Linked DNA regions of Oryzias latipes. The protein of the gene in region 1 purifies or fractionates together with the protein of each later gene. This does not show direct contact. Links are inferred from orthologs where the notes say so. Each region holds a gene or a part of one and is shown on either strand. Other genes may lie near its edges. The genes, in order: lsm14a, c1qbp and eif4enif1.

Region 1 (4,001 bases):
GATCAGTTTTTTTTTAAATCTAAATACAAATCTATTGAGAAGCCCAGCATTTCACATTCCAAAATGGCAGATGCTTCAGCGCTTTTGGGGCAGTTGAAACCCAACAGAACACAATGCTGCCAAAAGTGGTTTTATTGCATCAAAAAGATCCATTTTTAAACCTCTTAAATAGATTTGAGATATTTAAAAGAACCACGGAGGCTACTGTTACCTTTCTTCTGCTCCAGAAGGTCAGGGGGTTTCTGGCTGCCCGTGGAGGTGCTGGTGGGTTTTTGAGCAGTCACTCCTGACTGACTCCTCTGTCCCACAGGAGCTGGCGGAGCGGGGGCAGCTGCAGGTGGAGCTTGCACCGCCTGTTCCCCCGAGGAACTTTTTATCAAAGAGTCCAGTGGAGGGCTTGCACGTCCTGCAATAAAACATTTAAAATGATTTATTTAAAATTCACAATAAATAAAAAAAAAATAAAATATACAGGTTGTTTCTGAATACCATGAATAGAAAAATAAATGTAAGTTGAAATGTAAAGAAACCAATATAATAACAGGTCTTTAACACAGATTATAGATCCCTTCATTTTATACTTACGTATTTAATAAAAAAAAAGAAAACATGAAATTTTGTATTCATGCTTTTTTTCTTACCTCCAGCTCCAAGGGACCCAAACTGTTGGGGTCCAAGGGGAGTAACGCCAAACTGGCTGTATGATGGAACAGGGGCCCTGCTGAATGGTGCATAGGACCCATGAGACTGAAATGAGGATGCTGCTGAGGCATTTGAAGATCCAATTGATGACTAAAAAAAAGAAGAGAGATTCAGTTTTTAAAGACTGCCATGGCATTTTTGGTTGTTTTTGTTCATGATCACAACAAAAATACGAATGACTCGGTTGTTCAGGAAAAGGGGAACTGATGGAGTTCATTACAACAATAAGCTTTGGTCCACAGTAAGACAAAAATCTACCTTGATACAGTTATAGATATTCAGATGGAAATGGTTTTATTTTTTGCCTCAATGTTAAACCACGTAGTTCCTCAACATCTACTACCCTGCCTGTTTTCCACATCTCCCTGCACGTCTTGATGCTGATTACCTGGATCAGGTGTGTTTACTCAATCAGAATGAGGAGTCAGCAGAAAGCGGTACAGATACATCTGTAAAACACACAGGCTGGTAGCTCTGATGTAGGTTCTTTAGTAGAAAATTTGAATCCAACTACCGGTATATTTTAGGCAAATTCAAACAGTGGCTTAAAATGTGCTAAACCAATGAGGCCCCTTTTATCTTAAAAACAAATATCTATTGGGCATAAAAAAAAAAAAATTACACACAACTTGTGCTGTTAATCAGCTCAATATACATCCAAAAAAAATATAATCTACATGAGTTGCTAGTGTGATTCTGAGGGTGTTACTATTGTAACAGATTACACATGAGTCTGGGTAATTCCAAAACTAATCATTTAAAAAAAACATCTTTTCATTTGCTATTTTGGACAGTGTCTTAAGTTTTCAAAGCTGTAACCTGGAAAAAGGTTCAGAGATTTCAAAATTCTAATATTGCTAATATTGGATAGTACCAGAAAAATTATGTGGAATGAAAAGCAGGAAGAGGAACAATAAAGATCTTTTAAAAGTAGATTGCACGATCAGAAAAGAGCTGTGTGTGCTTGTCATTTGAACCTGTACTGCTGTAGATGAAACCCAGCTGTTACTAATTATCTCTAAGGCCCCTTACTACATTGGGCTGTGCGAAAAGAGTTGCAAAGGAGAAGTGTCAAACACAAAAGGCTCACCTGGACTATGGCGGGATCCTGAGGCAGAGAACTAGTGGCTTTGGGTGGTTCACAAACCGTTAGGTCTTTTATATCGCTGCCTCGGAAGATGATGTACTCAAACACTTCCTCCCGGGGTGGAATAGGCCTGTCGGTGGGGCGATCTTCAGTGCCAAAAGACCGAACTGTAAAGAAAATTAGAGACAATTTGAATATAAAACAAGCATCAAAAGATACAAATTTTTACTCCAATAATACGAAATGCATAGGGCATGTAATTATGTACTTTTTTTTGTAAACATGTAAAACAATTTTTTATTGGAGTCTAATTTGATACTCAACATGCTACTAGTAGACTTTTGGAGTTTAAATACAACAGTTAGAAAGTGCGAGTTTAATGTCACTGATAACTTTAATTTTATTAAAATTGTTAGTTTTATACAACCAAAAAATAAAACTATTTGAATTTAATTAAACTAATGGTTAAAACAAAACCACGTTAACTTTTCATACAAGTCATTTGTGCTCAAAAAAAAGAAAAACTACGTAAACAAAGGACGCTGAGTGTGCACCACAACACAGCTAAGCTAGCAGATGCTAGCTTTAAGCTAGCAAACTGCGGGAAAATTGTTTACATAATGGTTTCCTATACCATATACCACGTTTTTGGTCATTTTGGAAAGCTAAAATCTATTCGTGTGTGATTATGCTTACCTTTAGCGAGAGCTACTGTCGAGTTTTCAGTGTCGATGGTGTACAAAATTCCTTCATATCGGATCTCGGCCTTTGAGATTAGGCTAATTTTGCTGCCTATGTACGGCGTCCCTCCTCCGCTCATGTTTGCCTTGCTGATTTAAATACGCCACTAACCTTTGAAGAATGCCCTTTAAGTCAACCTAGAACAAATATATTCAACTTTCCGATGCGCAACTTCAAACCTACATACCACAAATACAAAAGGTAACCCTGAAGCACATTAACCCGCTCCGTGATCCCTCTCACGACATGGCCGTTTTCATTTTCCTTCCCCTGGCGCTAAGCATGCTGGGAGAAAGGCCGTAGTTCACAAAACTACATTTCTGCTCCGACACGCATCTTGAACAAGAACAACCAATAATTTTCGCTAAAATGCTCTTTTAAAAAATGAATTGTTTTGATTGTGAAGTTAAATATTAGTAATTAATAATATATATTTTTTGTAAAATGAATTTCTGGAACTATTTTAAATAGCAAAAACCACTTCCGTGAAGAATTTAGCAGCATCTTGTGGATGTATTATTTATTTATTATGTTGTAATAAACTCCATTAGTCATTTTTTATGTTGTTATTTAATATCAAATCTTTAGAGAACAAGGTTTTTGTCTGGTGTTTTAAAGTTCTGTACACCATTTTGCAACTACAGCAGCATAAAACACGGGTCAATATGTGTTTTTGAAACCTATTTTTAAAACATCGTAAAAAAAGTTTTAAATACATTGACAATGATAAGGGTAAAAAAGGGAAATAAACAAAAAATATGCAAGTATGTATGATAGTAGATATAAGGCGTGGATAAATACATAAGTACATAAATGAATACGTAATTAAAAATGAAAAAAATAAGTAACGAATAAAAAAAGAGAAGAATAAATGAATAAAAACGTCTTTAATTCACAGAACCAAAACAGGGAGCTCAATTAATGACGTCAGGTCCATTCCCACAATGCCTAGTAACACGCAAGCGCACTGTAAAAAAACAGAAGACGACTATCAATGATCAGAGATGGCGGGCGCCTCCGACCCCTTGGAAGATATGCTTTATTCAGAGGTGGATGAAAAAGCCGTTAGCGACCTGGTGGGTTCATTGGAGTCAGAGCTTACTGGACAAAGCACCCCGGTGGGCAAAACAGACGAAAACGGAGGCGCTGGCTCTGTGCCCCCTGCTAATCACCACTTAGGAAAAACGCTACAACCTCCAGTGAGCATCACAACACTAGAACAACAACAACAAGGACGCCGTTTAAAACCCGAAATGCGCCAGGAGATCAACTCTAAAGACGTTAGCCAGGATAAAACTGACACATCTCCTTCGCTGGGCTGTGCTCCGTCCTTCGGCGAGCCCTCCGCCACCTCGCCCGCCTGTGTGAGCGCCAGCAGCAACGGTTCGCAATCACATGGAGCATCCATCACAACACTGACCGCGTCCAGTGTGTCAACTCCTCAAGACAGCATCAGCACCGCATCCAACCG
Region 2 (4,025 bases), on another chromosome or scaffold:
ACTTACAGTGGTATCAAGTCAATAACATGGAAATTATGGGAGTTTTTTTAGTAACATTTTGCATCATTTCTGGCCTTTTTTCAACAGCAGAATTTCCATCCACATAAGAATGCAAACTTATCTACAGCCACTACCTTTAAAAAGGTTTAGTAAAGATAGATACATAAAAGCTCTTGGTCTATATTTACATGTATGTATATATGTAAAATTCAAATAATTAAATTATATGTGAAATAGTCAAGATAATTACAACATTTATCAGGAATTCATGGTAACATTATCTGTGCTAAATTCACAGAAGCTACTGTGTTCATAAAGAAAAGTTAAAAAAAGAAACTTAAAAAAAAACACCACTAAACTCACCCTTTAGGTCTGAATAATTTCCTTCAAAAATGTGGGGACATAAATCTCTCAAGTTGCTTTTGTGCTTTTGTACTGTCTTTAGGGAAGTCTGACAACAAAGAGACTTTTTTTTTCAAACTGATTCCTTAAAAAAAAAAAAAAAAAGTGCGGTCACAGTCGCAACCGATAGTTTGTAAATTAGCAGATTCAGTCCAAACCGTTACAGAATTTCCTAACTTAGAAAACAGTAGTTTCCATGGTGAACACATTTTTTTATAGAATAGAAAATAATCTTTTTACATATATTTATATATATATATTTAGCAAATTTTCGTGGCTTTGATAAAGGGGTTTAAAAAGCATATAAATTTATCTTAAAAAATGAATTGGCTGTATAGTGGGCGTTGAATGGTTTAAAAACATGTCAGACAGCACCATCTGATGGCAGCAAGACTACAATTTCAATATATATTGTCGCAAAGGATGATGCAATGTTTCTACATGACGGGCCTCTACCGGTTGAGATTGTATTGATATTTCTTATTTAATCAAATTTTATTTCACTTGTATGTGCTGTCGAGTTTATTATAAATAAATAAAGAACTCCCGCCACTAAAGAAGGCAGACAATCTCTAATAAAACATTCACATCGAAGACACAGGGGGGCGCCACTGAAAATGCACTACGTTTTTTAAAAGTGCATCATATTTTTTCAGCTATTTTTTAAAAATGTTTTTCCATTTAATTTTACCATCCTATTTTACCATCATATATAATCAGTTAGTGTTTAGTGTTTAGTAAAGTAAAGTCAACTATTTGATATAAAACTAATGTTTACTGAACTAAGTACTACTTCCGGTTCAGGGGTCATAGTTACGCTAGGTCAATGTGCCCTTCCACACGTGTTGCCGGTGTCTTCTAGAAGCGTTCCTGGTAGTACGTCGGTGCCTGCGTGTTCTTATTTTTCTCTCTTCTTTAAACAGTTTATAGTATCATGCTAAAGTCTCTGGTCCGCGCGGTGGGAGCTGCTGTTCGGCTGTCCTCGGCACCATCCGCTGCTGCACGGGCTCTGCCGCTCAGCTGTCCGACCAACCGCTCTCCTGGTTCGGTTGCATCTCGGCCCTTCACCCGCTCCCTGTGGATGTTGAACAGTAACGGAGCCCCGTCGGGATACAGACCTAAACTGTTCAGCTCAAAAGTACTAAGTCCGTCTGTGTCGTGTGGATGTGGAGGGCTGCACACGGAAGGTAGCTGAACGTCCGCATGTTTTTGTTTCATTTATCTAAAAAAAAAAGAGAACCTGTAAACACAAGTTTGGGTTATTTAAAGCAGCAAAACAGCTTAAGTTGCTTACAAAATTGAAAGACACGTGGCGGTTAATTGGGGTTTTAGACGACACGGCGAGCGTGCTGCATCCTGGTTTAGGAGCTAAAGAGCTGACATCACTTTGGCAGGCAAAGCTTTAGATGATAAACAATCAACTGATGTTTTAACTTGTCGCTTAGCAACAGTACTGCTAATTTCCAGACTTCACAAACTATTTGAATTTTACAGTGACCCGATTTTCCTCATTAAAAGTGCTTGTTTTTATTTCTTTTTTTTTTTTCTTTACTCCTTCCACTCGGCAGAAATTGCTCCTGGAAAACGACACAGGTTTTATAAAGATTTGGCTAAAAACGTCAAAATTATTATTTTTAAAAAAACCCCACTGTGAACGCTTTTACAATCGAGCGGGAGGTGATTGGAGTGGAGCTTTTAACATTTTAAACTAATCACAAGTGAAGAGTCCCTTTATATTTACATCTGTATTTACTCAGTCAGCATTTGTTTTTTTGAATATTCCGCTGGTGTGTTATCCATCAACACTTAAAGATTCTACACGATGTAGGTATTTTGTATGTAATTGTGTAACAATTGTTTCAGATAATGCATTTTATCAAGTTTTTTCACCTCTAACTTGTCACATGTTTAAACATAAAACATTAAGGTTCACTGATAAGTTTTTCCAAATCCCCTCTGCCGAAGCCAATAGTTTACTCATATAAAGTTATGTTGTCATCCCATCCTGTGTGAAATGTGGATTCATGTTTTTTATCAAGTTGTCCATTCTACATCACACAGTTTCACCTAAATCTGTTGTCTTTTTCTCAGGAGACAAAGCGTTTGGTAACTTCCTGTCCGATGAAATCAAAGAGGAAAAGAAGATCCAGAAAAACAAAACCCTTCCTAAGATGTCTGGAGGATGGGAGCTTGAGATGAACGGCACAGAGGCCAAACTCACAAGACACCTTTCTGGTGAAAAGTAAGGCGATGGCTCACTCTCTGAGGACAAAGTGACCGTGTAGGAGTTCCTGCAAAGCAGCTTTTATTTTCTGTCTTCAGAGTGACGGTCACATTCAACGTTAACAACAGCATCCCTCCAAGCTTTGAGGAGGAGGAGGAAGCGCAGCAGCAGCAGAAACCAGCAGAGGAAGAGGTGAAGCTTTCGAATTACCTTCTAGATTTGTGATCTTATCATTTATTTATGCTCACTAGTTGTTGTTTTCCTTTGTAGCCAGAGATTGTATCTACGCCAAACTTTGTTGTTGAAGTAACAAAACAGAATGGGAAGCACACGCTCGTGTTTGACTGTCATTTCCCTGAGGATGAGGTATGAATTAAAACGAAGAAAGAAAGAAAAACTTCTGGATGAAGTGGTTAGGTAAAAAGGTGCCGACTTTATCCAATGTAGATGAGTCATGGTGAGGGGGAGGAGGAGAGCGACATCTTTGCCATCCGGGAGGTCAGCTTTCAGCCAGAGGGAGACTCTGAGTGGAAGGAGACCAGCTACACCCTCAACACAGACTCCCTGGACTGGGTAAGAGCTGCTGTGAACCATGAGCACACGGGGGGTCATGAAGGTGGGATGTTCTCAACTCTGCTGGGTTCTTTTTAGGCGCTGTACGATCATTTGATGGACTTCCTGGCCGACCGCGGCATTGATAACACCTTCACAGACGAGCTCATGGAGCTCAGCACTGCCATAGAGCACCAAGAGTACATCAAGTTCCTGGAAGATCTCCAAAGCTTTGTCAAATGTAACTAATATTTAACTTAACTGTCTGTTCTCCAGATGAAATTTCAAAGGACTAAAGCACTCAAGACTCATGTTTGGCACCCGGCAACAAGAATGTTGCTTGTTTTTCTGTAACTTCAATAGAAATATTTGTCAGCCATAGTGATCATTTAGTTTCTCAGCCTCTATTTTACATCTCATGTCCCCTTTAAATGTGTAAACGTTCAATCAAGACCTGTTCTAAAGCTAATAAAGAGAATTGTCAGTTTTCATTCGAGAATTTGTCACATTCTGAGGTTTTACTTTAGGAAGTTTTTATGTTTATTGAGGAACATTGACATTTTGTTGGTGGCTTAAAAACAAAATAAATACACACAAATTCCACACAGAACCAATTCAAGGTTTTAGATCATAATCATCACCTTACATTTTTCTCAATACAGTAAAACTTGAACAAGTTCAGATGCTTCAAAACTGAAATTATTTGAAAGATTCTTTATAATTTAGAAATGAATAGAACTGTTTAAAGGAAACAAATGGAAAAACAATATTAAACTGTTTATGTGCAATAGAGGTTGATCAAACCTTAAGCTCCTCCTAAGAAGCAACCCCGCCCCCCTTCCTCCCA
Region 3 (4,082 bases), on another chromosome or scaffold:
TTTCTCCTGCCTCAGTGATGCTGAATTTCTCTGGTTACGGAACGTCCAAATAATATACCTTCAAAGCAATGGCTGGCAAACGCAAACAGCACTCAGGTAGAGTTTGTACCTTTCAAGCATAGGATGTCCTCAGATGACCTAATGACAGTCTGCTCGCAGTTCCCCGCTAGAGGTCCAGCACTCACCTTTGCATGAATTCAAGGCTCGTGCCAGTTAGTATACAGGCTCTAATAAAGTCAAAGAAATAAATAGACTGGTAAGCAATGGCAAGACCATCAAGGATTTCCCCAACTCTGATCTTGAAAACTCAAAACAAAGTTTGCTAACTGTCAAATGTTACCTGGAGGAGAATCTGTGTTTCCAAATGATTAGAAACTTTGTGAAATGCATGAAGTGGTAAAGCAATAAAACTCAATAATCACAGCAGTAAAATCCTAAGAAGTAAGCTAACAGTCCTAGAACCCGATCTAGTTTGTTCATCGAGTCTTCCAGCAGGGATGTCCAGCTCTGTGAAGCACTTCCTGTTTGTTTCTGCACCGACTTGCAGCCCCGACTTTGCGTCTCTGACTGAACTATGTTGCATATTTGCATCGTAGTTCAACTAACAAGGAACGGAAACCATATCGCATAGTCGCAAACTTAAAATTTGAACAACTTTCCTTGTCACGTGACCCCTAGAAACGGTAACATCAGGCGGCAATGCTCAAATATAAGACATTAGAAATTGTAACTATGGATTACACTTTTCTATTTTAAACTCAGTCCTGCTGTACTCGTTCTACTTTTCGAACTGAAATATATGTGTGTATATTATTATAAAATATATATTTTAGATGATAGTCACATTGGGTCCTCAGCTTTTGGAGGAATACTAAACAAAATACAAAACCGCCCACAGGGGTGGAGACGGCAGTTTCTGACAATATCACTCCGAGATCAAGATTGAGGGGGAAAAATCAAGCATACCCTGAAAAAATTAGGTATTCTATATAATGCCAGATTAAATGAATGAAGTGTTTGGTGTTTTTTCATCAACAAAAAACTTCACAATAAATATACACGATTTTATTAATTAACAAACATTTATTACGTCTATATAATATTTAAGCAATAAGAACAAGATTGCTCCTACACCTTCAGTAACAAAAATTTAAATTCTACAAAGGCGCGACGGGCACCTTTTAATCTCTCTGAGGACCTTCTTAAAGCGGTGATTGTAGGAAATTCGCTGCTACGACTAAGAAACAAGAGAAAGAGCAAACAATAATTTGTGATTACAGAGTTTCTGTGCGACCCGATTAATTATTTGGACTAGAAATACTATTTTGAGTTACCCTGCCATAGCCTGTAACAATATAGCTCTTTGGAAAAGTCGACCGCCTTATGAGTTGTTGTTTGCGGGGTGGGAATTATCCCCATTACCCAGCTAGTTAGCTAGCGAAAGGCGCTAGGCTAACTTGCTAACTAACGTGAAGTGCAGCTGTTCGGCAGTATTTCACGCATCATTTCAACTGAGTAAGTTGTTTGTTTGTGTTTTTCAAGATGCTTTTGACAAGTTTCTGTTGAATCACATTTTTGCCATCCCCTCAACTCTCAGGGGTTTGCATCGGACTGTCTCAACTCGGGTAACCATAATTAACCAACCTGTGTTTATTGTTGTTCTCTAATGTTGAGGTAAATGGGTGGAGGAAAAATACTACTTGTAGTTAATAATTTGTTACCAGGTGGCATCAACATTTGTCGCAAACATTTTGCGATTCATTGTAATTGACTGCCACTTGTGTTGTCAGGATGCTTTCAATTAAGCCACTAATTGGTCTCCACTGACGGATGGTTTGGGTCTTCACTGTTAAGTGAGTTAACTCCCCCCCCAGTATATATCTATTTTAATTACAGATTTGAAAACAAAGTGCTTAAAAAACTAAACTACAATTACCAACCAAGTTTAAATAATCCTATAGTAGACATGATGCATGTAAAGCTAATGGAAATAAACTATAAACAACATACTAACCTCCGGAACAAATGGGTTTTGATGACTTTGAAAAGTTTAGACCAAAACCACCAATGGACGGATGAAGAGGTTGTTCCACAAATGGAGGACAACTTGAAAAGTTTGATCCCCGTTGATTTGAAGCGTTTTGAGCCCCATCAAATGATTCTGCTTAAAAGATCAACATCTCCAAGCCAAGGATTACAAGGTTAAAAAAATATATATTTTATAAGCTTTATGCCAGCAAAGCTCCAAAATAAGTACCAGTACAGTATTTTGGGTTTGACAAATTATCTGTGTGTACTGTTTGATGTATTTACAAGAAACTTTCTTTAAAGGTTTGGTTTTTTTTTTTTTTCCTGCTAAGACATTGTCTGATTCTGAAACTTATTTAATATCAAGAAGTTGACCAATTATTTATTTATTGCCTCTAATGACACCAAACGAATGTGAAATTCTGCCGTTTTCAACAGGATCAGTAGTTTACCTGGAACCGCTTTGCCTGCATCATGGACAAAGATGCCTCAGAACAGAATGAAAGTGCGTCCACTGAGTCCAAGCAACAGGCACTGGCTACGTCTGCCTACAGATACACCAAGGTGATGAGACGCGTCAGCTAAACGTTGCTGCTTATTCCACACCGTTTTCCTTTTAACACAAGCATTTGTGCACAGGAAGAGCTTCTCAGGATAAAAGAGCTTCCCATTTCCAATCAAAGGCCTGAGTGTCTCTCAGAGAAATATGACAGGTAAAACCGTCTCCTTGTGAAATGCTTTTCTTTTTTATTTCAAGGGTTAGTCATAGATATTTTTTTTGCCTCTTGATTATATATCATATTTTATCAGCTTACATTTGATTGTGGCAGATTTAGTTCACTTAGTGACTAAAATCGCAACAGTTTGACCTTTTGTTCCGAACAGGATATGTCAGTTACAATTACTCTGAGGTTGGTTGGTTGGTTAATTTTAGGGTTAGTATATACTTCCAAAAATACTGAAACGTATTCTATGTGTGTTTTAACCAGCCAGCCCTACTTGATCTTTATGTTACATTTCTTTGCTCACCTTCCCCTAAAAACTGTTCTTTAGTGATGGAGTTTGGGACCCAGAAAAGTGGCATGCCTCACTCTATCCAACTTCAGAGCGGAGCTCTCCGGTGGAAGGTTTTAAGAAGGACTACATGGATGAAAGGGTTCCTTTAAAGCGAAGAATCCCAGGTATGTGCACTTCAAGAGTGAGACAGTGGTGGGAATACCACAAGACTTTTCTGTAGTTGTGACTTCAAGCTTTCAGGAATATTTACTGAAATTTCTGAATGAAACTTCTTTTCTCACCTATTTCCATGAAGATCCCCGTGAGCGGTTGAAGGAGGACGACTTGGACGTCATACTTAGTCCACAGCGCCGTAGTTTTGGCAGTGGATGTCAAGGCAACGCCCTACCCGCTGCTCACGTCCGTCGCCCAACCAGTCCTCTGGAAAACAAGGAGAATGAGAGCCTGCGTCTTGGAGGCCCCCGCAGGATTGGCAGCGGCCGCATCATCCCAGCGCGGGTTTTTGAGAGAGAAGCCCGAGTAGAGAAGGACAGAGAACGAGAGAGAGACTTCAAAGATAAAAGATTCAGGGTTGGTTTCTTCCATTTTTACAAACATTTAGGTCTCTTTAAAGAATTTTCTTTAAATTATCCTGTTATGATGACTAGTCTTGTATTTTAGTATAACCCTGTTGAAAGAAGTTCTCAATACTTTGCATTCAGTAGTCCATCGTTATTCCCTTTTCCATGTCCACCGACCCCTTTTCTGAACTGGCAGAGAGATTTTGGTGACAAACGTGTGTTTAGTGAGAGGAGAAGAAACGACTCGTATGTTGAGGAGGAGCCAGAGTGGTTCTCAGGAGGCCCCACCAGCCAGTCGGAAACCATCGAACTCACCGGATTTGACGACAAGATCCTGGAGGAGGATAAACGCAAGTCCAAGAGGTCCAGGAAGCGGACGGAGCCCATCAAAGAAGGTCGCTCACATGTACATTGAAGACTGTTTTAAAGTTGGCCAGAAAATCATTACTGCTGGGGGGTCTGTTCCGTTTCTCACAG

Evidence for each region.
Region 2: the proteins of lsm14a (region 1) and c1qbp purify together in Homo sapiens (affinity purification with mass spectrometry; 3 studies listed by BioGRID and IntAct, with this or other methods). This does not show direct contact. The link is inferred for Oryzias latipes from reciprocal best matches to the Homo sapiens genes LSM14A and C1QBP.
Region 3: the proteins of lsm14a (region 1) and eif4enif1 purify together in Homo sapiens (affinity purification with mass spectrometry; 3 studies listed by BioGRID and IntAct, with this or other methods). This does not show direct contact. The link is inferred for Oryzias latipes from reciprocal best matches to the Homo sapiens genes LSM14A and EIF4ENIF1.

The regions. Positions count from the first base shown.
Region 1 is NC_019861.2:30,568,039-30,572,039, forward strand, and holds the start of lsm14a (protein LSM14 homolog A), read right to left. Parts: upstream 2,819-4,001; 5' UTR 2,610-2,818; coding exon 2,486-2,609; intron 1,957-2,485; coding exon 1,793-1,956; intron 793-1,792; coding exon 642-792; intron 407-641; coding exon 212-406; intron 1-211. Other genes in the region: transcription initiation factor TFIID subunit 4, read left to right, coding at 3,535-4,001. UniProt on the Homo sapiens protein: Essential for formation of P-bodies, cytoplasmic structures that provide storage sites for translationally inactive mRNAs and protect them from degradation. Acts as a repressor of mRNA translation. May play a role in mitotic spindle assembly.
Region 2 is NC_019872.2:21,256,206-21,260,230, forward strand, and holds c1qbp (complement component 1 Q subcomponent-binding protein, mitochondrial), read left to right. Parts: upstream 1-1,205; 5' UTR 1,206-1,336; coding exon 1,337-1,589; intron 1,590-2,493; coding exon 2,494-2,644; intron 2,645-2,724; coding exon 2,725-2,818; intron 2,819-2,896; coding exon 2,897-2,992; intron 2,993-3,073; coding exon 3,074-3,199; intron 3,200-3,277; coding exon 3,278-3,427; 3' UTR 3,428-3,674; downstream 3,675-4,025.
Region 3 is NC_019863.2:612,806-616,887, reverse strand, and holds the start of eif4enif1 (eukaryotic translation initiation factor 4E transporter), read left to right. Parts: upstream 1-1,270; 5' UTR 1,271-1,515; intron 1,516-2,073; exon of another isoform or gene 2,074-2,201; intron 2,202-2,466; 5' UTR 2,467-2,502; coding exon 2,503-2,592; intron 2,593-2,667; coding exon 2,668-2,741; intron 2,742-3,081; coding exon 3,082-3,209; intron 3,210-3,340; coding exon 3,341-3,615; intron 3,616-3,801; coding exon 3,802-4,000; intron 4,001-4,082. UniProt on the Homo sapiens protein: EIF4E-binding protein that regulates translation and stability of mRNAs in processing bodies (P-bodies). Plays a key role in P-bodies to coordinate the storage of translationally inactive mRNAs in the cytoplasm and prevent their degradation.